2 linked regions of the Rattus norvegicus genome follow. The protein of the gene in region 2 interacts with the protein of the main gene of each other region in a pairwise test. Links are inferred from orthologs where the notes say so. Each region holds a gene or a part of one and is shown on either strand. Other genes may lie near its edges. The genes, in order: Anxa10 and Edc3.

Evidence for each region.
Region 1: the proteins of Edc3 (region 2) and Anxa10 interact in binary tests that used the Homo sapiens proteins (3 or more experiments, as listed by UniProt). The link is inferred for Rattus norvegicus from reciprocal best matches to the Homo sapiens genes EDC3 and ANXA10.

The regions. Positions count from the first base shown.
Region 1 is NC_086034.1:32,562,709-32,575,061, forward strand, and holds the end of Anxa10 (annexin A10), read left to right. Parts: intron 1-2,273; coding exon 2,274-2,327; intron 2,328-2,416; coding exon 2,417-2,510; intron 2,511-3,651; coding exon 3,652-3,747; intron 3,748-5,778; coding exon 5,779-5,837; intron 5,838-6,508; coding exon 6,509-6,631; intron 6,632-8,987; coding exon 8,988-9,056; 3' UTR 9,057-9,253; downstream 9,254-12,353.
Region 2 is NC_086026.1:66,997,545-67,010,347, reverse strand, and holds the start of Edc3 (enhancer of mRNA-decapping protein 3), read right to left. Parts: upstream 8,317-12,803; 5' UTR 8,234-8,316; intron 5,486-8,233; exon of another isoform or gene 5,379-5,485; intron 3,990-5,378; 5' UTR 3,894-3,989; coding exon 3,736-3,893; intron 916-3,735; coding exon 596-915; intron 1-595. UniProt on the Homo sapiens protein: Binds single-stranded RNA. Involved in the process of mRNA degradation and in the positive regulation of mRNA decapping. May play a role in spermiogenesis and oogenesis.

The sequences.
Region 1 (12,353 bases), on a different chromosome or scaffold from region 2:
AGAATCTAAGCCCTTATCAATAGCATAGAGTAGAAGGCTAGGAAGAGTAAAGACAGACAAGAATGCGAAGCACCACAGAGACAAGATTCAGCACTTTAAGGGAATGAATATTAAGGGAAACCAGTTCCCAAGACTGGGGAGTTTTCAATGAAACAAAAGCAAAGGAACAAAGACTACATAAAGCCAAGTAATGAAGTGCTGTGAGGAAAAACTGATGAACTTACACCAAAACCTGCAGAAAATCAAATAAGATAAAAACTGATAATAACTATGAGAAGCTCATCAAATAAATAATATGCATTCCCAGAAGATATAATGCTTCTATTATTTTCACTTATTTTTCTGGTAAATTAAAAATCATTACAGATAATTGGAAAGAAAGCCCAAGGATATTGTTTGTAAAGAATGAGTTCTAGTATGGTAACTAGATCCCAGAGCAAGTAAAGCCACTGACATCTAGTAATTGTCCTTCTTTAACTCTCTCAGACCTAGGGCAATTGATTTAATAACTCTAAGTCCATTCATTGTTATCTCCAAAATAAGAGAAAGAGACATAAGACCTCTAGGGATGTACTGAAACATGTTTATGACTTACAGATAAAATACCCATAATCCCACTAGGCAGTGAAGTCGCTTTTATTCTTTTAAATGCTGTCTTCTATTCCTAAAGTTTCAGGGCTACAAATTTAGTCAAAAGAAATTGTGAATTTATTTCTCTATGAATAACTCAACTTTCCTATATGGGTTTAGATTTGAATTAGCAAAAAGAACATAGAAATTGCTTAATATTAAATTTAATATGGTAAATTTAACCTTGAACACAATACCTTGAACAGTCAAAATATATGGGTACATATTCACATTCAATCTTTTTGATACATTTATACTTTTTTCTACTTTGATTGAGAATCTCATGATTCTTGCTATCATCTCTTCTCTCCAAGATGCTACTAGGTGGAAAATGTTTATATAAATTTATACATATACACATATACATATCTCTGTGTGTGTGTGTATGTGTGTGTGTGTGTGTGTGTGTGTGTGTGTGTGTGTGTGTGTGTGGTATGTGTATCACTTACAGGATGTCTTAGCAAAGGACCATGATGGTGTCCTTAAAAATAGCAAAGATCTGCATCATTGTAGATCTTGACTATGAAATTACAGGTGTTGGAACACTGCACAGACGATGTAAGGTTGTAATGTCTGTGATATATGTGGATGCTTCGTAGTACTAACTCTGCATATGTAGAGATAGTTAATTAATAATGCTTTCCCTGTCTCTGGTCAGAGACAGGATAAGTTAATTAGCCTCACCTTTACTTTCTTGGAAGCTGAAGAATCCCTACAACAGCCAGCCTTGTCTCCCATGCAGTTCTAGTCAATGTTATTTCACTATAACCTTTGTCGTTGTAATGACCTTGTGATGGTCATAAACATCATTGTTCAAGCTTCAACACCATTTCCTGAGCCAAATAAGAATCAGGTAACAAAATTGAGGTTCTATTCATGCAATGTAGGAGTTGAGACAAATTCAGGACAACTAAATCTAATATTATCTCCACCATGCACATACATAGATAACACACACACACACACACACACACACACACACACACCTTTGTCCACCTTCCAATGTCACTGGGTCCACTGACATGGAAACTCCCTGACAGGAAAAAGACAGTGATCCTTAATGTTCTATCATAATTAGTAATCTCTCCCTCCATACTTTGACTCAAAACCTGAAATACACTCTGCCATCTCTCTCCTCTTGCTGGATCATGGAGACTGTTGGGTCTTACATTGATTGGTCTTCCTTTCTTCTGTGTCAAATGTCAAATGAACTCTCTGATGTTTATAGCATAAGGAATGGAGAAAAGTCCCATTTGCAAAGCCTAGATTTCATCATGATTTTGTTGTTGCATAAACCATGTTTTACAAAGAAGACATGACTATGCATGCATCATTTCACTAAGTGTAAACCCATTACTACCACATCACACAAGAGGTGGACCATCACCCTGATCGGAACACAGAGAGGTGAAAAGTGGAAAACATCTCAGCATTTTTTTCACTATGTACCTCTGTTGGGAAGAAAAGCTCAAAATTAAACTCCTTTCAAAACTGCATAACATTTCCTCAGGTTTTGAAATATCCAAATAATACGACAGATTGATAAAGAATCACTAGTGTTTGATGATTGGGGGATCTTTGTCCCAAGAACCCTGTATCGTGTATTGAAAGCATCTAAAAGAAGATCCCTGCTTATTTCACAGGGAAACAGGGAGGAAGGCTACACTGACCCTGCAATGGCTGCTCAGGATGCAATGGTAACTGGATGTCACTCCCCACTAACTAAGAGAGCTCTTGGTAAAGTGAGGCTTGTCCAATGCTCCTTCCTGGCTGTGTGATGTTGCAGGTGCTGTGGGAAGCCTGCCAGCAGAAGACTGGGGAACATAAAACCATGCTGCAGATGATCCTGTGCAACAAGAGCTACCCACAACTTTGGCTGAGTAACTAGAAACAGGCTCTTTCCAACTCTTTAACCAATTGAATGACATACAAGTAGCTAGGATCAAAGAGGAAATGTCACCCAGAAATGTAGAAAAGCCAGTTACTGCTCCGAATTATGTCTGTACAGCATGTTGCATTTAATGATACTGCAATGGGATAAAGTTCTGACATCGTTTAATTTCTTTCCTCTAGCTAAATTCCATAGCTTTCAAATACTGACATTTAAAAGCTACTTATTTGGATGCATTATCTCTTTCCTAATAGGCACACTACATTGTGTCTGAACAGTCTCCAGCAAGCTTACTGTTTCTGTGTTACAGACAACATGAGATATCAGTAGTGCCTATTGATCTCCAAGATGTGCTCACATTAACCTATACTTGACTTTCTTCAGATTCTACAACCTTTCCTTTTCCCTTCTTAGAAAAACAAAGTACAATTAAATGAAACATAAAGGCCTATCAATGTTTTAGCAACAGTCTACTCTAGTTCAACTGTGCCTCTTTTACTTTGTGTCAGTTAAAGATTAGTACTAATGATAGTAGCACTTTATATAGAAGTAAATAGCTGAGAAGTAAAACATTGCCAAGGATAAAGCCAGCTGAGTACATTCTTTAAAGAGGGAAGTTTCATTCAACATCATTTTATGTTAGTAATAAAGTCACTAATGGTAATCTATTTCTCAAATGAGCTCTTCCAATGCCTATCATCAATATCGCTCAGAGTATTTTTGTATTTAACATTTATATTTAAGTCCTAACGGAAAGTTTGTGTGGACAAATAAACTTATACTGGTTATTATTTATGTTTTCTGGAGATGCCTCATAGACAATAGTTCACACCGTGCTCTCCACCCATCTATCAATCAACACTTGAGTCATTGAGTCCAACTCAAGAAAACCATCATTCCCCAGCCCAGCAATAGTAGTTCTTTGGAGTCCAAGATTCATGCAAGTTTTAGCATTTCATGGGATCTATACTAGTTGCTAAGAGTAGATACATCATCACGATGGATATTAGGACCGAGAAATACTTCAGAGAACATACTTACCTTTGCTATGTATAGTAATCTCATTGGTATTTGTTTTAAGTTTATGAGATTTATGAAAATCCCATTCAAATCACATCAATTTCTTGAAGTTTTCCAGGAATTTCAAACTATTTCTGGCCAAGACCTGGTGGATACTATCAGTGACTGTTACGATGGTTACTTCCAGGAGCTACTGATTGCAATTGGTAAGCTGGATTTCATATGATGAACAGCCAACCTTGCCTTTCACAGCACTGAATGGCTCTGACTAGATTACCTGTGCATGAGTGGAAGCTTAATTGAAGCATTTTTCTCAGCACAGTTATTTGAAAGATCCCTAAACTCTAAGACAGTCAGTCAGCTAGTAGTTCAGTTCAATGAACTGGCAACCTGGAAACATTAATCAACTGGCATTATTTCCCCCCAAGAACGAGCTCAATTTCCATACGAGAAAAGGGAAATCTGGGATGCCTGGACTCATAAGTGACTTCTCATAACTTCAAGTCATTGACTTCCACCCCTGTTTCAGGAGCAGATAAATGCTAACAGTGTGACTGGTTTCTGTCTTCAAGAAGAACGGTGATTTTTTTTTTAAGTTTTTAAGTTTGATGGTTCTTTAAATTTTTACTATCTTTAATATATTTCCCTTTAGAAATAAATCTTGTCATCAAAGAAAGCCTAAATTATTAATTAGAAGTGAGATCTACAGGCATGCCTTCCCAGTGTTGTTAGAAATGTTATGCCCGTTACAGAAAAGACCAGGGCTCTTATTCATCAAAACTATTCAAGTGTTCACACTTTACCATATACTCTGTGACTTGGTTGCATGGACTGCAGAAAATGTACATTAAAAGTCATTGTGAAGTATCCTATAATAGGTCCATCAAATGAACACTTAGATATGTGCTGAATATTCAATTGTGAGTTTTCATTCCCAAGAATGTCTTGACATGGAGCTGAGATATCAGTCACAGCACTTTTACAAATGATCTAGTACGAGATTTTTAAGCAAACATCCTATAAAAAAGAGTAGGTGAATCCTATGAAACCCCTAAAGATATGTGATATGATGGCTTTTGTCTATGAATGTATAGATAGATAGATAGACAGACAGACAGACAGACAGACATATAGATAGATAGATGATACAGACAAATAGATGATTGATAGATGACAGATAGATAGACAGATAGACAGACAGATACATAGAGAGATAGATAGATTTCTTCAAATTCCAAATAAATATAACAGTTATATATCACATATCAGCGATAAGCAAAGAGTTAGACTAAAACTCATGTCATTGAAATCTCAAAGCAGCCCAAACTATTGTCAGAAAACAGTGGGCATAAGAGAACAGACAGCAGACATCAGTAATACCAGGAAATAGCGATCTGGCTCATTCCGTCAATCAACACTGAATGAGCAGCTTCTCATTTCTAACTTGGTTGATGTGGGTGGAACAGTGAGTCAACAAAGTTCGGAATACCAACACTCGCCTCTGTTCTCTGGGAGCCCACCTTCTAGAAATCACTTCTCAGGTTTCCTTGTCCCAGTAATAAAAATGAGATAAGGATGAAGAGATGGCCTCATGATCTAAAATAATTACTTGGACTGCACAGAAATACTAATGTGGATTTATTTTGAAGAGACATTATAGTTCCTCATCTATTATTCATTCATGTAATTAATCTATTAAATTTTCAAATAAGGGGCTTATTGATGGTCTACAGTCTCAACTGATATTTAACAGGGACAACTGTTGGACAGGTGTCAGTCTGCTCAGAGCCCTAACAATTGTAATCAAGTAATATCTAAAACTGGAGGAAACAGTTTACATTGTTACAGTTTCTCCTTAAATGACCTGAATTCTATTCATGAATCTTTAAGGGATCAAAGAGCTGCTGGTATAGACCAGTTTTAGAGGCTATCAGAATGGTTGTCAATCAGGAAGGTGAATGGATTGTATGTGTTTGATTTTATATTTGGCACCACATTTTTAAAAATTTAATAATAATGGCCATATGCTCAGAGACAATCATTTGTCATTACAAAATAAAATATTGATATGTTATACTTTTTGATAGAGTGTGGCTAGTGCTACCATTATTCTAAGTATTGAAACTATAATGCAACATGATGATTCTGGAACAATATGTAAGTGCTCAATTTCTTTCCCGACTTCCAAAGAATTACATCCTGTCACTCAAATTTTTCCTTGCTCTCTTCCTCTCTAGTTCGTTGTGTTCAGGACAAACCAAGCTACTTTGCTTATAAATTATACAGGGCAATCCATGTAAGTATAACACATACTTTTTTAACTTATTTAAAATTAATATCTACTATTTTTATTCCAAAGAAAATGTGTTCAAGTAAAAGGAAGCAAGTTAAACACCAAAAGTGAAATTCATTAAATGCAGATATTCTCTGCTTTCTACAACATGGGTACTTAAGACACCTGAGACTTAGCGTATATTGACCTCGTGCAGTTTAGAATCTTAATATTTTTTATTTATTTAAACTGATCATTCAAATGCACCATGACGGCAACAACAGCCTAATGCCTTCCCTGTGTATGACCTGGACAAATAATCATAGTTATTCTGATTCCAGCTGTGCCCTGATCCCAGCTGTGCCCTGATCCCAGCTGTGCCCTGATTCAGGGAACTTGGTCAGAATTTTGGTTGTTGTAATCTCCCCAAATTATGAAATGTTAGTAGATTTATACTCAAAAATATTCTGATATAAAGCATTAGATTACGTTGAGTGGCCACCAGATGTCACCATTGTTCCACTTGAAAGACGTTTGAAACTTCCGAGAAGGGAGGCCCCAGGCATCCCATAGCAGTGACAGCAATGTTTAAGTCCTGTGGACCCACAAGCAAATCGCTACTGAGAAGGAAGCCCTTCCATGCTGAACAGGTCTTAAAGTACTGTTTTCTCTACCCACATTTCTGCTGTTTTTAGGATTTTGGCTTCCATAACAAAACTGTCATCAGGATTCTAATCGCCAGAAGTGAAATAGATCTAATGACCATAAGGAAACGTTACAAGGAGAGATTCGGAAAATCCCTCTTTCATGATATCAAAGTAAGTCTTCTCTTCATAATTGAATTTACCTCACATATTATTCTTTCTGAGCCATAAATAAAAGTTTCAATTGAAACAACTTGCTGTGGGTATCTAAAAAGCTACATGTCTCACAAGGCGGTTGACTCGAAGAGCTTACACAGCGTTCAGTGCTTTAAACAAACATCAACCTGGAAAGTCATTGCACCACAGAAAATTATATAAAATATTCCCTTCCTATGACTGTGGTTCCAGGGTTCCCTTCTGATGTGAAAAGCACAGGACCAGCTGGGTGTGGCAGTTTGCCTGTGATTTCACCTGCAACCCCCACACTAGATCTACTGAGGTTGCAATAGGAGAATCGACACTTCAAGGTCCCCCTCAGCTCCAAAGCAACTTAGAGACTAGGATCCACTTCTTGAACCCTCTCAAAACACAAGCAAGCAGACAAGCAAACAAACAAGCAAACAAACAAACAAAAACAAAAAAAAAACAGTATTTTGCTACGGGAATGTATTAACTGCTGCCCAGCACCACTCCTCAAAGCCTCATAGAAAACAAGGCAGCCAGTCAAATAGCATCAACTACCAATTTGGAGAAATTTATTACTGAATACATAAAACTCTACATGACCAAACACTTCACCAATCAGAGGGCAAGGAAATAATTCAAAAACGAACAAGCCAATTTCTTATTCTGGTCTCCCTAAAACATTTTAAATGTCTTATATAACTTGGCAAAAAAATGAAATATATGGTCCATCCATGTAATCTGTGGGTGCAGTATAAAATCATTATGTTTAGTTTCTTCAGCAAAGAAAACCAAAATGGTTTTCAGGATGGAGAGAATAGAGCAGGAGAACAGACGCCATACTTGAGACTGTGTCTTAATTTATACCTTGTAAATTCACATTGTTTTCAAGTGAAACTCCCAGTCCAAGCAAAAACAGTTCAGTTCCTTGTATTATTCAAGACATAACTCCCAGCACCTCAGAGATTGAAGCCATAAATTCCAGAGTGCTTTCGTAGCCTTTGTAGGAGCCAAAATGGCTCTAAGAAATTGATGTATCAGTTAAAATCAACTTTATGGTTTTTTAAATCTTTGATAAAATAGTTTATTACGCCTTTCTCGAAAACCTAAAGCTGTTAGTGGTGATCAACTCGTACCACTGAGTCAGAACTCAATTTCTAAGTGAATAAGCTAGCTTGTTTATGCTTTGTAATTATTTCTAACCATATTGAAGACAAGTTAAAATAACGCGTTGCTAATCTGTGAGTCTTAATTACACAGCCTTATGTAAAGGAGCATTAATACAATAAATGGTTTTTATGAAGATGGATTCTATAATGACATTCGTTCAGCTACCTATTCTGGAATCTTTAGACCTGATGGAAGAAGATAAAAAGAAACAAAGTTGCCCTGGTTTTCTACTACCGACACCTGGGAGTGAGATACCTAGAAAGGTCCTGCTGTGGCTGGAAAGCTTGTTTCTCCAGATTCCTACACTGAAACCCTAGCCCTAGGAGATTGGCATCTGAGAGGTGCTAGGAGATGGGCATGTGAGAGTAGTCATGAAGATAGAGTCCACAAGTAGGGCTAGTCTCCTTGTTGGGAAGACGAAGCTCCAGGATGCTCCTTTGACCCTCCTGCCATGTCAGGCTGGAGTCAATAAAGAAGTATTCACATAACGCTTTGTCACCTAGATTTCCCATCTGCCCTAACTTAGACACCTCGATGGCGAAAGCCCCAGTAGACTAAGGTGGATCTTTTTTCACACAAACATAAACAATAACATTTTGCTAGCAAAAGAAAGGATTTTATGAAAACAAGACATCCTCTTTATAAAGTACGTTGTGAAATAGAAAAAACTGTCTCACATGATTGAATGCCTTTCATTGTTATACGTAACATTAAAGGGCAGATGTTGCTAGCATAAATCTCGTACTCATCCATAATTGATGATATTTTAAATGTATTTCTTGATATAGGATTTACTGAATTAAACAGTATAAATATTTTCAAATCTTTTGAGACACATTGGCAGTGTCCAGAATCTACACTGATTTACTATAGTAGTGACATTAGCGTGTCAATTCCTAAAGCTGAAGAAAAGATTCACTGTAAAACATGTTATTGTGCTCATAAATATACATTAAACTTTCATCAGCTCTATACAAAGCATATCGTTTCAACTATAGCACAGCACTATTTTAATGTTTCACTTCGAATACTACTTAGAAAATCTTTAGACAAAAAATAGTTTTAGTGAAGGCTAATGGTCCATGAATCTTTTATATTGCAATTATAAAATGTACAGTTGACTTTTAGAAGCAGGGAGAGATTTGAGTTTTACGTGCCTTTATTTTTTTCTTTTCAGAGTTTTGCTTCAGGGCACTATAAGAAAGCATTGCTTGCCATCTGCGCCGGTGATGTGGAAGACTATTAAAAAGAGGGAGGGTTTGAAGATGATGGAATCCTCTTTATAGACACCAGATATAGACGGCTGAACGTGTGCTGTCATTGACACTGAAACAAAACTATAAAATCATATCTTCTTATATCTCTACAATTATTCTGAGACAAAAATAAATCTACTATTGAAAATATGTAATCCTGGATTTGTAGCCCTTATTCAATTAGTAACTAATTAAACTGTATATGGTGGAATAAGAAAAGCATTGCATTGGACTCGATTTTATTTAAATATGAACTGTCAATTCCTACAATAAGAAAGTCTGTTCATAACTGTCTTAATATCAGTTTGGAATCTATAACATTGAAGCATCTGACCACTTTCAGTGTGAACACCCTCCATGTGTGACAACTCTCAATGTGTGTCCACCGTCAGTGTGCGTCCACCGTCAGTGTGTCCACTCTCAGTGTGTGACCATCCTCAAAGGAGTTTTCTGGACTCAGGCTATCCCACCATCAATGGAAGAGTGCTCCTCTTTCTCCACATCCTTGCCAACATGTGCTGTCACCTGAGGTTTTGATCTTAGCCATTCTGACTGGTGTGAGGTGGAATCTCAGGGTTGTTTTGATTTTCATTTCTCTGATCACTAAGAAATTTGAACATTTCTTTAGTGCTTCTCAGCCATTTGAGATTCCTCTATTGTGAATTCTCAGTTTACTTCTATACCTAATTTTTTGATTGAGTTGTTTGATTTTTTGGTTGTAAACTTCTTTAGTTCTTTATATATTTTGGATATTAACCCTCTATCAGATGTGGGATCAGTGAAAAAATTTTCCCAATCCGTAGGATGCCAATTTGTCCTTTGCCTTACAAAAGCTTTCCAGTTCCGTGAGGTCCCGTTTATCAATTCTTGATCTTAGAGTGTGAGCCATTGGAGTTCTGTTTAGGAAATTTTTGAATGTGACAATGAGTTCAAGGTTCTTTGCCACTTTCTCTTTTATTAGATTCAGTTAATCTGGTTTATGCTGATGTCCTTGATCGACTTAGACTTAAGCTTTGTGCATTGTAAAAAATACGAATCTATTTTTATTTTTCTACATGCAGACAGCCAGTTAGACCAGCACCATTTATTGAAGATGATTTCTTTTTTCCATTGTATATTTTTGGCTCCTTTGTCAAAGATCAAGTGTGCATAAGTGTACGGTTTTATATCTGGGTCTTCAATTCTATTGCATTGATCAACCTGTCTGTCTCTATTCCGGTACCATACAGTTTTTATCACTATTGCTCTGTAGTATAGCTTGAGGTCAGGGATGGTGATTCCCCCAGTCATTCTTTTATTATTAAGAATTATTTTCACTATTCTGATTTTTTTTTTGTTTTTCCATGTAAATTGAGAGTTGCTCTTTCCATGTCTTTGAAGAATTGTGTTGGAATATTGATGGAGACTGCATTGAATCTGCAGATTGATTTTGGTAGGATGGCCATTTTTAGTATGTTAATTCTACCAATCGATGAACTTGGGAGATCTCTCCATTTTCTGAGGTCTTCTTTGGCTTCCTTCTTGAAAAACTTAAAATTCTTGGCACACTGATCTTTCACTTGTTTAGTTAGTGTTACTCCAATACATTTTATATTATTACATCTCTTGTGAAGGGTGTTGTTTCCCTAATTTCTTTCTCAGCCCAGTTACATTTGTATAAAGGAAGGCTACTGATTTGTTGGAGTTAGTTTTATATCAGGCCACTTTGTGGAAGTTGTTTATCAGTGGTAGGTGTTCTCTGGTAGAATTTTGGGGGTTGCTTTTGCATATCATCATATCATCTGCAAATAGTGATACCTTGACTTTTTCTTTGTCAATTTGTGTCCCCTTGATCTCATTTTGCTGTCTTATTGCTCTGACTAGAACATCAAGTACTATACAGAATAATATGAGGAGATGTTGCTGTAAAATTATAAAAAAAAATGCTGTCTTTTACCCCCACTAGGTCCGGCACTGTAGTGCCCCAAGATATATAGTAGATATCTTCATCTCAGTCAGCAAAGCATCTCACCTGCTCTACTCTATCCCATATCACCAAAGGCTTCTCTCTGAGACTGGCAACAATCTCTCTACCTATCTAAGTTCCCATGCCAGAATTATACATCTCAATTCCATGGCAGTCCAGTGTCTCTAGCACCACAAATTCTCTTAAACGTAAATTGCCATAAGAAAGAACACACAGCACAATAACCTCTGATCCTATTGATAAGACATAATTGCCCACCTAAACATTAAAAGCCGTGTACACATCCATCCCTTTAGAATATTCATGCCCACAGCTCCCTTCTCCAAAAACCGTGGAAGAGAGAGCTCATCACCCAGACATGTGGGCAATCCTGAGACTGCAGGGCAGGAGAGACCGCCACATCTGCCCACTTTTGCCCACATCCCTGGCCCAAGAGGAATCTGTATAAGGCCTCTAGGCACAGGAAGATAGCGGCACTCAAGCTGCAGGAGCTCTGTGGTCCAGACTGCACCCAGATCTGAATTGACCAGGTCAAACAGCTCCTTGCACACAAATCTTGTGGGAGGGAGAGCTAGTCCATCAGAAGGACAGACTCACCTGGGAAACTAGAGGAGACTACTCTCTGCCCAAATTTCTGACTCTAGAGGAAAACACCTAGCACACAGAGACCCAGAGGTAGGGGCAGGCCCTTCAGGTTGCTACCCTCATGGAGAGCTGAAACCCAGCCCCAGGAGCAACTTCAGGCCTGAGACCAGAGATAAGACCAACGTTTCTGTCAAAAGTGACCTGCCTGGTAGACTCAGGACACATGTCCAAAGGAACAGCTGAAAGCCAGTGGACAGGAACAACTACACATCTGAGAACAGAACACTCTATTCCCATAATTGGCTAAAAGAAAACAGGAAAACAGGTCCACAGCACTCCTGACACACAGGACTATAGGAAGGTCAAGCCACTGTCAAAGCAAAACAAGGTAACACCAGAGACAACTTGATGGTGAAAGGCAAGTGAAGGAACCCAAGCAATAGAAAACAAGACTACGTGGCATCATAAAAGCCCAATTCTCCCACCAAAGCAAACACTGAATACCAAACAAACAAGAAAAGCAAGATCTAGATTTAAAATCACATTTGATCATGATGATGGAGGACATTAAGAAAGACATAAAGAACTCCCTTAGAGAACTGCAGGAAAATACAAGTAAACAAGTAGAAGCCCTTAGAGAGGAAACACAAAAATCATGGAAAGAATTACAGGAAAAGACAATCAAACAGGTGAAGGAATAGAAAATGGAAATAGAAACAATAAAGAAACAAAGGGA
Region 2 (12,803 bases):
AGACCAGAGAGTAATATATACCAGTAAGTGCTTTCCTTAATCGCCTTTAGTGGGGACATAAAAAAAATAAAAGTAAAATACTCAATTAAGGCTAGGGTTAAGTGTTTGGTGGCCGAATGCTTGCCAGATATGCAAAGCTCTGGGTTCAGTCCACAGTACCTCAACAAACAAAGCAAACAAACAAACAAACCAATCAGCTTGTTAGAAATGAAAGGTAACAGCAATGCCTACACTAGCCCCTCCTCTCTAAGTAAAAGTCTACTCAAGAAATTAGCTGGAATACCCCAAGTAGAGTCAATCAGGTATCACAACCCCAACAGTTATGAGATTTAAAACATGAATATGGTGCAGATCCAAGACCTTTCCTGAAGGGAGAAAAGTGACAAAGTGGGCAAGAAGCTTGGGTGAACCTCTAATAAGTCATTTCCTTTTCCTTGGTATCTTGAGGGACTGGCCCTAGAATGGCAGAAACACACTGTATCTCCATGAAACCCTTTGTATGAGGAATCACGGACTCATGGAAGGAGCAACAGTAGGTAAGTGTTTACAGCCTGAAACACCAGGTTACAAAAGACAGCACCTTGACTGTACTTACAGGAGTTGTGCCGACGACGGAAGCTCTTGGACTGACTCAAAGACTCCATGTGCCTGTCCACATAACTCTTTGAGCACTGCTGCTGCTGAGGAGAAATGGCAACGTCCTGGCTCTTCATATCTGTCCTCTTAGGGATGCTCTGAGGGGCACTACTGGAAGAGGCTGGCTTCTTGACCACCTTGCCTGTTCCATTCTGATTGATACTCATTTGGTACCCAACACCAGAAGGGCCTAATTCTGTCTGATGAAGGTCTCCAAACTGCTGGTTGTCTCCAGGACCTGGTATCTCCAAGATTTTTAATTCTGTAATATCACCTGCCCTGAAACACACAAAAGTCCAAGTCTCAAAATTATAGTAGCAATAGGAAAGTGGTAGAGATGAAACTGGGGTTAAGGAAGAAACTGCACTCTGCAAAACTGCAGTAACTCAGGGTTAACAGAAGTGAAATTAAGAAAGGTAGCAGGACATCTACAGACCATGCCCAGCCACCAACTTGCAACTCATACACTACTTTAGAGACCCAGTTGTTAAGAACAGCTCTATAGCCTCCTTAGATTTCCAGAATGCTAGTAGCTTTCTTAAATTCTTTCACCCATTTGCTTTTCAACATACAATGCCCTTACTATGTGGTGAGCCCTGGTTATGAGCAAGCTACACAGAGACACAGTACTTCCTTTAAGGGACTCAGTCTGCGCACTGGAAAAGACACATGCAGAGGACGCTAGGGTGAAAGACATCTCACCCAGAGAGTCAGAGACTAAGAAAATCTGGCACTGTCCACAGGAAGAACTGCAAATGTTCTCTACGGTAGTACATAAGGAGAAATGCTTGTGGAAGGCTATCGGGAAGGTAAGGTGATAATCATAAGCACAATAGACTTTTCCATGGCAACAGGAAAGAGGAAGGAACCAACAGGGCATTGCAGCTCTTGCCCAGAATCCTACATTTAGGAGACAAAGGCAGGATCGCCACCTCCAATCATCACCATTTGAAGGCAGCATGGTTTACATAGAGTTACAAGGCAGCCAGGATGATACAGTCGCTCTTCCACCTGTTTTTGGCTTTTCTGTGCTGGACAGCTCCTGATGGGGATTTTCTTTGAAACTCTAAGAGTACTCTCTAGATCATCATATTTGGGAAAAAGTTTATTATGATTCTTTTTTTTTCTTTTCTTTTCTTTTTTTCGGAGCTGGGGATCGAACCCAGGGCCTTGTGCTTGCTAGGCAAGCGCTCTACCACTGAGCTAAATCCCCAACCCCGTTCATTATGATTCTTAAATTTCCTTTTTAAGGTTTTGTTTTCTTGGACCCTGGACATGGTGGCACAAGCTAACGGATCTCTGTGAGTCCAAGGCCAGCCTGGTCTACAGAGTGTGTTTCAGGTCAGGCAAGGTTATACTTTTGAGACCCTGTTTTAAAAAATGTTTCCCTTGGGTTGGGGATTTAGCTCAGTGGTAGAGCACTTGCCTAGCAACCGCAAGGCCCTGGGTTCGGTCCCCAGCTCCAAAAAAAAAAAAAAGAAAAGGAAAAAAAAAATGTTTCCCTTGGGTTGAAGAGATGGTTCAAAGGTTAAGAAGGCTGGCTGCAGGGGCTGGGGACTTAGCTCAGTGGTAGAGCGCTTACCTAGGAAGCGCAAGGCCCTGGGTTCGGTCCCCAGCTCCGAAAAAAAAAGAACCAAAAAAAAAAAAAAAAAAAAAGAAGGCTGGCTGCTCTTCTAGAGGACACATAGCTGTCTGTAATTCCTGTTCCATGCAATCCCACTCCCTCTTCTAGACTACCTAGGCACCAGACACACATGTGTTACATAGTTAATGCAGTCTCTCACATTGAGAAATTTTAATTTTTTAAGATTCTTTACATTCATTCATTGCATGGGGGAAGGGTATAGATGGAGGGGACAGAGTGTCACAGTGTGCACATGGAAGTCAGAGGAAATGTGCTGGAGCTGGTTCTGGGGACTGCACTCGGGCTGCTAGGCTTGTGAGCAAGCACTTTCTCTTGCTGAGCCATGTCACCAGTCCAAGTCTTAAACGTCTAACTTTGGTGAAAGGTGTCAATAATATGACCAGGCCTCCCGAGGAAGAAACCTGTAAATAAACGTGTTCAGCTGCAGGTCTTCAATCTGAGGTATCTTTTAGACCACCCACCTGGGACAGACGGGAGACAAAGTATCTAGAGCTCAGCTACATGTATGAATCCACATTCCTCTGACAACTATGAAATCAAAGTATTAAGAGGATACTCTGTGTACTACAGTATCAAATATTCAGCCATGTTAGAATTGAATTCTTTTTTGCTGTTGTTTTGAGATAGGTTTCTCTGTCTAGTCCAGGCTGTCCTGGAATTCTCTCTGTAGACTGAGCTAGCCTTGAACTCATAGATACCTGCCTGCCTCTGCCTCCCAAGTACTGGGATTAAAGGCATGCACTACCTCTGCCAACTCAATCTTGCATTCTTTATGTAAAAATAAGTAAGCACATCCACCTTTTATAAGTGGTAAAGTTCTATATATACCAAAGATTATATAAAAGATTCTATATGGTCCAATAACAATAGATGTTTTATTGTATATCTACTTTCTATGCCTATATATTACGATTACTTTAACATATCTAAAATAGCTAGAGAAGCAGAGGCGAGCAGAATTCTGGGAGTTCCAGGCTGGCCTGGGCTGCATACTGCAATCTTGTCTTGGTGTTTAAGTAAAAAAACGTGGGGTTGGGTATTTAGCTCAGTGGTAGAGTGCTTGCCTAGGAAGAGCAAGGCCCTGGGTTCGGTCCCCAGCTCCGAAAAAAAAGAAAAAGAAAAGAAAAAAAAAAACCAAAAAAAACAAAAAAAAAACCCGTAAAAGCCCCAATTTTTGAAACTCCCCACCCCCCACAAAAAAAGAGAAAGGGGCACTTCTGAATTTGGCAGTTGAGTCCTGTGCAAGCCTGGCAAGAGATAGTACAGGATGATGACTGTATTACACCAGTCTCCACTGAGAGGAACAACAGAACTCTAAGGCCTGTAAGACTGAACTCTCCTTTCTGACAAGACTCAACTCCAACAGCCCAGGCAAGAAGATACTGTCAATCACCTCGACTCCAGCACCTAACCCACCAGGCTGGATTTTGGAGGACGTCGGTCAGGACACTTACCGGAAGGTGACTTCTGGTACAAGACACTTCACCCCATTATGGAAGGGCCGAGTAAGAGAAATGGTCTGGCTGACCTGATCCACTGCTGATACTCTTCCCTGGTAGACGCCCAGGCTATCTCCACAGTTGATAGACACAATACTGCCTAGCCAATCCATTGCCTCGTGTCGGATGTGAAGGCTCCGTGCAGAACCAGTACGTCAGGCTCTGTGCTCAGTGCTGTTGATAACACTCTGCCACTAAGGTGATAAAGCCTGGAAACAAACACACAGAAGACGAGCATTTGGTAAGAAGTGAGGTGTAAGTGCACACACCTTTGTTTTGGATTTGTTTTATTTTGTGAGACAAGGCCTTACAGTGTAACTGGTGGAACTAGAACTTACTATGTAGATCTCAACCATACAGAGGTTTATGCGTCTCTGCCTCTTGAGTGCTAGGGTGAAAGGTACCACCACACCCAGCTTAAAATAACTTTATTCCCAACGTTGGGAGGCTGGCGGGAAACAGGCAAGTGGATCTAAGTTGAGGCCAGGCTGGTATACAGAGTAAGTTCCAGGTAGCTCACACTACCCAGTGCGAATCTATCTAAAAAAACAAAAACCATCAGTAGGAATGTGCATATTAATATGCAATATTGATACACGTATGCAAAGACCATGTAGATACCAGGTGGTGGTGGCACAGTCCTTTAAACCCAGCACTCGGGAGGCAGAGGCAGGTGGGTCTCTGTGAGTTTGAGGCCAGCCTGGTCTACAGAGCCCAGGGCAGGGCAGGTAACAGTGCAACGTCTTTCAAAGAGAGACAAAGTATTTGACTAAGCAGTGGAATGCTATTTACCTCACAAGCAAGGTTTAAATTTTAGCACCATCAAAACTTTAAAAAAAATTAAAAGGCTGAACAAAAGGGGCTGGAGAGAGAGCTCAGCAGTTAAACACTGGTTGCTCTTCTGGAGGATCCGGGTTCCATTCCCAGCACACATGTGCTGGTGACTCCAGTTCCAGAGAATCTGAGGCCCTCTTCTGGCCTCCTCAGCCACTGCACACACCTGATGCACAGGAACACACTCGGGTAAACTTTTGTACATAAAAATTTTAACTAAATAAGTCACTATAAATAAAATTAAAGTGGGTTCAGTCCTCAGCTCCAAAATAAATAAATAAATTAATTAATTAAATTACTATCTATAAAAGACACCTATTAGCCAGGCGGTAGTGTCACATACCTTTAATACCATCACCCACCACTCAGGAAGCAGAGGCAGGAGTTTGAGACCAGCCTGGTCTACACAAAGAAACTCTATCTCAAAAACAAACAAACAACAACAAAGGCACCTACTGTAGACTTGTTTCCATTCCTTGTCAGCTTTTGCCTACTTTATGTTAGGGTAGCATCAATTTCCTTTTCTATCATTTATACTCCATAATCTTATTTTGGCACCTGCTTTAGATAACAGCATTATAAAAAGCTGTCATAAAAACTAAAAAAAGAACAAACAAACAAAAAAAACCAACTAAAATTTAACAAAATGGAGAGCAGCTCTTGTTTTTCCAGTTAATATGTATTTTTAAGGCCCTGATATTCTACATTCAAATTTATACCATGCTAACTGAATCAAAATGTTAGCACTAAGAAAATGTGGCTTTGTGCTCGCTTTGGCAGCACATATATTAAAAATGGAACGATACAGAGAAGATTAGCAAGGTTCCTGCACAAGGATGACACACAAATTTGTAAATTGGTCCATATTTAAAAAAAAAAGAAAGAAAGAAAAGAAAAAAGGAAAATGTGGCTTTTAGTTGTTAAATGCAAGTTTTTACTTGCTTCTATACTGATGTGCAACTGTCCATTTTCATTGGAAATTCCCCTATAAAATACATTGACGAAATACTGAAAATTAAATCAAATGGGTTATCCTATAAACTACCTCTTGGGTGTGGTGGTGCATGCCCGGAATCCCAGCACCTGAAAGGCTGGAACAGGAGGATTGCAGCAAGTCTGAATCCAATCTGTCCCAGAGAGCAAGCTCTAGGCTATTCACAGCTACACAGAAAAACCAGGCTCAGAGGAAAGAACATAAGCCAAAATTTCCTAGGACTGGGGACACAGCTCAGTTGGAGAATGCTTTCCTAGAATGTGTGCATGAATTCTGGATCTATTCCCCAACACTGAAAACAACAACAACAACAACAACAAAGAGTAAAACATTTTTCTTTACCCACACACTACTAAGGTTTTGTTTTTTTTTTTAAAAAGCTAGGGCTTGTGAAGCAGGAAGATAGACAGGAGCTACAAAAGAACTTTTTTTGGGGGGTGTCTTCTGTTTAGCTCTGGCTGTCCTAGAACTCATTATGTAGACCAGTCTGCCTCAAATTCAAGAGATCTGCCTACCTGTATCTCCCGGCTACTGGGATTAATGTCACTATGCCTGGCTGACCTGTGTGTGTGTGTGTGTACATGCTCATGCATGCGTTTTGATGGAGATCAAATACAGAGCTTGTGCTAGTTTCGAGATAACCTCTGTCACTGAATTACGTATCTAGCACAGGGCAAATCTTGAGGCCTTTTATTTTGTATTTTGTACTTTTCCATCAAGTTATAATCTACATAAAAGTATATCACTCCACATTAAAAAACAAACCAACAACAACCCAAGACATGAACTCACTATGTAACCCAGACAAGCTCAACTCAAGATCCCCCTGCCTTAGCCTCCTGAGTACTGTGATTACAGGGACACACCATGACATCTTGTGCTCAAAAATGTTCACAGTAATCCCCAACGGAGCTGCGACCTAAACATCACAAAGGGCTCACTGTGTCTCTGCTATTCTGACATCATGAAAGACAAATTTATGCTGTTTTCAAACTTCACAAAAGTAGAATCACGCAGATTCATGTGTCTGGTTTCCTTTAATCAATAGTACAAGTGTGAAATTCAGCTGTTAGCATTTGGGAGAAGTTAATTACCATGTCTGTACCATCTTGTTTAAGCATCAATGAATTTAGCCAGCCTATTATACACAGTTGAATTATTTCAAGTTCTGAGTTCCATTTTAAGTAACATTTTTACATGTGCTCTGGTTAATATTACATAGAAAATCAGAGTTGAAATTGCATTTGACTTTATCAGAAACTGACAAGCAGAGTCAGGTGTGTTGGTGTATGTCTATAATCTGAGTACTCCAGAGGCTAAAGCAGCAGTATTACTGAGTAACAGGGACCCAAGTGGCCGAATGTCTCCATGACATCAAAACCAATAATCCTTCGTAGTCAAAAATCAAGCCTTTAATCCCAGCATTCTGGTGGCAGAGACAGAGGATAGCTGTGAGTTCCAGGCCAGTCTGATCTACATAGACAATTGAACAGGCTCTTCACTATGTAGCTCTGGCTTGAGAGCCTGTCACCAAAAAAAGGTCATTCTTTGCAACTACTTTTACTTCAGAGAAACCAACAACTAGTAATTTTGTGCCCCAAAACACTGATAGATCACTCTTTAAAAAAAAAAAAAAAGGTGGGGGGGTGGGGATTTAGCTCAGTGGTAGAGCGTTTGCCTAGCAAGCGCAAGGCCCTGGGTCCGGTCCCCAGCTCCGGAGAAAAAAAAAACAAAAACAAAAACAAAAAACTGGGTACCACCTGAGGGCTCCAAGGATAGTCATTTATATTGTGGAAAGACTAAAGTTCCTCTTAACTCTGCAATCAGGACACTGAAAATCAATTACTTACGCTGATGAGGGCTATTCCTCCAACACACCCCAACACACCCCAACACTCAAACCACAGATCAAGTATCACTAATAACTACAGTCACAGCACAGAAAGGGCAACCACAGCAGTGCATCGAGGGAAGTTAAGTGTGTGCACTGGCAGGGCATCAGTATCTCTATTTCCACATCCCAGTCCCGTGACAAGTTATTAGCCACCATGCGGCACTCGCACGACTGGCTATTAACCTTTTAGTCAAAGGAAATGAAGGCAAAGAGCTGTGAGAACCACAGTGACAACCAAAGCTGGCCTGAGACAGTCCAAGCCGTTATCACGTCCAATCTCTCTACCTCCCGCCTCCAACACGAATCCTTGGGCTACACCTAACTCAGTGAGTACTCCACATGCGCCCACGGGCCCACGCGCCCACCCCCACCAGTTCCTGCGGGGACGCGCGCGCACACACACACACACACACACACACACTCTTCATGAGCACGCACGCGCGCGCGCGCACACACACACATACACCCCGCAGTTTCTGCCCGCCAGTATAAAGATCTACAAGGCCTGGAAGCCCGCAGCCTAAAAAGCACACACATACACACCGCAGTTTCTGTCCGCCAGTATAAAAATCTACAAGGCCTGGAAGCCCGCAGCCTAAAAAGCAAACCGAGCTGACCACCCGGAAGCGCCAGCCAACGAGCACCCACGAACACGCGGCCTCCCTCAAGTTCACTGTCTGGCCGCCTGCCCCCGCCTGCGCTGCACAGCACACCAAGACGTCCTCACTCACCAAAACACCGCCGAGGGGCTTCACGCCCACCTCCACAGACACAGGAGCAGCCACCACCTCCGCCGGAAACGCCCCTGCGTCTGGGCCAACGCGAATGATGTCACTTCCGTTGACACTGGGAGGAGCCAAGGGGCGGGGCTCCCGGGAAATTTGAGTGGTTGGATTGTTAAGGGTTGATGGGCAAGACCGCTAAATTAAGCCAGATGTTTTCTATGTGTGAAATCTGAATGAAGTAAGAAAGAAGAAAGAGAGAGGAGAGAAAGAAAGGAAAATATGCTGGCTACTTTGTCAACTTGACACAAGCTAGAGTTATCTGAAAAGAGGGGACCTCTATTGAGAAAAATGCCTCTGTAAGATCTGGCTGTAAGAAAGCCTGTAAAGCATTTCTCTTAACTTGTGACTGATAGGGAGGACCTAGGCTATTGTGGGTGGGGCCCTCCCTGGGCTGGCAGTCCTGGGTTCAATGAGAAAAAAAAGACTGAGCAAGCATGGAGAGCAACCCAGTAACAAACACTCCTCAGTGGTCCCTGTACCAGCTTCTGACTTCAAGATCCTTTCATGGTGAATACTAATATGAGTGTGTAAGCTGAATAAACCCTTTCCTCCCCAAATTGGTATTTGGTCATGGTGTTTCATCACACCAATAGAAATCCAAACTAAGATAAATTGGTACTAGGAGTAGGGTATAGTGACAGGCCAGATCATGTTTCAGAAGGACTTTGGAACTTTGAACTGGAAAAGCCACGAGAGTTCAGTGGGCTCTTCTGTAGGAGATTGGAAGATAAGAATGTTGAGAGCAGTGCAGATTGCCTGGCTTGTGAAGTTTCAGGGAAAAATTTAAAGACTATCTGGGCCATTTGTTACTTTGATTCTATGGTTCTGGTTAAGTGGGGCTGAAGAAATGGCTGTGGTTAACAAGAACTACAAAAGTGAAACTTTTGCTTTCCTGGGATTCTCAATACTGTTTGACTGGAGTTGAGAAATTAGTGGTACTTAAGAAAAGAAAAACATTGTTGAGGTGAAACCTCTTTCTTTCTTTCCTTCTCTGGAACTTGCTCTGTAGATCAGCTGGCCTCTCTCTCTCAAATGCTGGTATTAAAGGCATGTGCCACCACTAAGCATGATTAAATCTTATGGGAAGTATTTCCTGAGAGCTAGCAAAAAAGATAGAGAAGATGGAGAAGGAAAGAGAGAGAGAGAGAGAGAGAGAGAGAGAGAGAGAGAGAGAGAGAGAGAGAGAGAAGAGAAGCTGGGGAGATGGCTCAGGCTCAGAAGTTAAAAGCATTGCTTTCCCACAACTGTCCATAACTCCTGTTCCAGGTAGGGAGGGTCTCTCTTTTGACCACTGAGAGGACCAGCAGGCTTATGGTGTAGGCAAAAACATTCAATACACATAAAATAAATCTAAAAACAAATTTATAAATGTTTATGAGCTCATGAAGGGTTTTAATTTGTGGGGACAAATTTTTAGTCACTTTGTTGCTATATAACCCTAGCTAGACTCAAACTCAAAGAAATCCTTCTGCCTACATTCTGAGATTAAAAGCATGTGTCTACACAATAGAAATTATTATCAATAGTCAAACTGCCTTATCTTCAGGAGTTAAAACTTGTTTAAGAGTGTCTCGAGTGACTTAATCTATCCCTGGAGTCTTCATAGTATCTTTACCATCTGGCATGGCTAAGCGTTCCAGGCTTGTCTTTTATTAATACTTCTGTCCAAGATTTGTGGCCAATTATTTTCATAAGAAGCCTTGGATCTCAATCTGGGCATTAGGAAGTTAGAATGCTCATTTCTGTCAATTGCCCATGGACTCTAAGATTTAGGATATTAGCAGAGCAAGATAGTACATGGCGAAACAGGTTTTCACTGACCTGGAACTCACTCTGTAGATCAGGCTGGCTCAAACTTAGAGATCTGCCTGCCTCAGCCTCCTGAGGGCTGGGTTTAAAGGTGTGTCCACCACTGCCCTGCTTATAAACTGTTTTACCTATGCTGTCCAGATTCCTTACTTTTAAAATGGTATTTTCCCTTCCATTTACCCTGCACAATTGATTGTTGTATTTTTTTTTTTTTTTGGAGCTGGGGACCGAACCCAGGGCCTTGTGCTTGCTAGGCAAGTGCTCTACCACTGAGCTAAATCCCCAACCCCTGATTGTTGTATTTTTAATGAAGATTTACTTTTTGTGGGTATGTGGGTATTTGAGGGGGGTATATGCATACGTCAGGATGGGTGAGAGTGCCCACAGATGCCAGAAGAGGCTGTCAGTTCCTCTGGAACTGGGGTTATGGACAATTGTGAGCTGCTCTACAAGGGTCATGGAACTTGGGTCCTCTAGAGGAGGAGCAAGAATTCTTGAACCCATAGGTCTCCCCGGTCTGCTGCTGTTTGTTTTGCTTTTTAGTGTACATAAAGTTATACAAGCATCACTCCTGATTTAAGAATACGTGCTCTCTGTGTAGAAGAAACCCACACCTCCGGATTCCCTTTGCCCTGTGTTCCTTAATTTTTGGCTCTATTTAATTTGCCTATTCTGGATATATTATGTGTTCCTCTACATTATAGCATATAATACAAATTTGTTTGTTGTTTCAAAGACAGAATTTCCCATATTTCAGGCTGGCTACAAACTTTCTGTAGCTGGGAGTGACTTTTAACCTTTGACCATCCTGTCTTTATCTCCTGCTTGCTAGAATTACAGCTGTGTTCTGCCACAGAACTCAAGTCTTTGGGCATGCTAGACAGCCATCAGCTGAGCAACATTTCCAGCTGCGACTGCTTTGTTTTAACACAACCATGAGAATGGCAACTGGGTACCCTTGTTCCCTCTGATTTGGGTTTGCTCTTTATCGTGGCCTGAAACTCTTGGTGAATGTTTTTTATTCTATTTACTGTCTATTTACTCTATTCAAAAGGCATAAGTCTGGTAACTACTGTCCACTCCCAGCTGTTCAAGAAGGGGCTTGAATGGGGTGATACTAGGAAGGGTCACATCCCAAGATGCATGTCCTCTTAGCATGTTAGAGGAGCTTCTAGCTCTGTGGGTCTGTCCTTCACCACTACCTGACACTGCCATTCTGACATTACTAAGGGATGAGGATTTCTGCATAAAAAGTGTGAGCCACTTAAGAGAATGCTTCTCCAGAAGAGCTGGCCCTGTCCCTCACTGCTTGTGGCATTGGCTGAGCTAGCCAGAGGCAGTGCTGGAGAGCTCAACCTGGCGGTGTGGTTATGGGAGAGCTGACAGGTTGACCAGCTTAGCTATCACCCGGGGTTTTGAGTTGCCCCACCCCAACATCTATCCCATCTATGATCTGCTGGAGCACATGAAGGGGCTGGCCCTGCAGATCCAAAGCTGCAGGATCTCCATGACACGAGGCAACAACAGGATATCTGAAAGGAGTCCTAGTGAGAGCATCCAGTATTGATAGTGCAGCAGAAGCCAGAGGCCTCCAACTAGACCAATGAATGATTCATTGCAATAAACATTTGCAAGCAAAGAAGTGTGGGCAAAAGGGTATACTATATGACACACTGAAGCTTCTGTGATGGGGTTCTGTTTGTTTTGTTTCCAATATATATACTGGAAGGGTGGAGGACAGATACGAAGGGATGGGGAGATGAGTGAGATCGGGGGACATGATGTGAAATTCACAAAGAACCAATACAAAATAAAGAGAAAGCTAGAGAGATTGATTCTCATCCTTCAAGGAAGGCTCTGTTAAAATGTCCCCCAAAGACCTAGGGTCTTTTTCCAGTATTCCTCCCCACCTAGCCACATCCTCAGCTCTTGAATTCCTATTCCCCTATGAAGGGCTAGTAAAGCCCTGGTTACTGTGAATTAGATGATGTGCTTATGCATCAGACCCTTTCACCAGTTTTGGGGGCTTCTGAAAGCAGTCTTTCTTTTTTAGAGTTCCAGAGAGTACTTTCTATCAAAGTGTGACACATTAGAGGAGACCCCATTGATAATGTGCCATTCTCTCCAGCTCTCAATAGCCAGCCCTCTCCTCCGCACAGGAAAACACAGCATAAGGTCGAGCTTAAGGACGGGAATGTGGCTTAACTTCAGGTTCAAAACTTCTCTACACAGAGTACTTCCAGGTAATATTTTTATTTAGCTCAGGTACGTTTTTCCTATATATTTCTGGATACTTGAGTTAGATTTTTCTCTATTACACTAAGCGAATTATCTAAATCTATTGAAGTACGACTAATACAAATGCATAAGCAAAATACAGGCCACAATAAAAAACTCTTATGCACAAACATTTTCTTTAAAAAAAAAAGAAAGAAAGAAACGTTTTATACAGTAAAGACAAGAGACCAAGAGCTGGTGTAGCGGTTCATGACTGTACCCTAGCACTTGGTAGGGTGGTAAAAGCAGAAAAAAGAATTAAGGAGTTCAAGGCCACCCTTGGTAGCAAGTTCAGAGGCAGCCTGGACTACACAATACTGTCTCAAAAGGCATTCCTTTACTCTAAACCTGGTCTTACTGCCCAGAAAGTCTGTCCCTATGTTCTTAGGTCTTTCTACACACAACTCTCAGCCCTTCCTAAACAGGAACA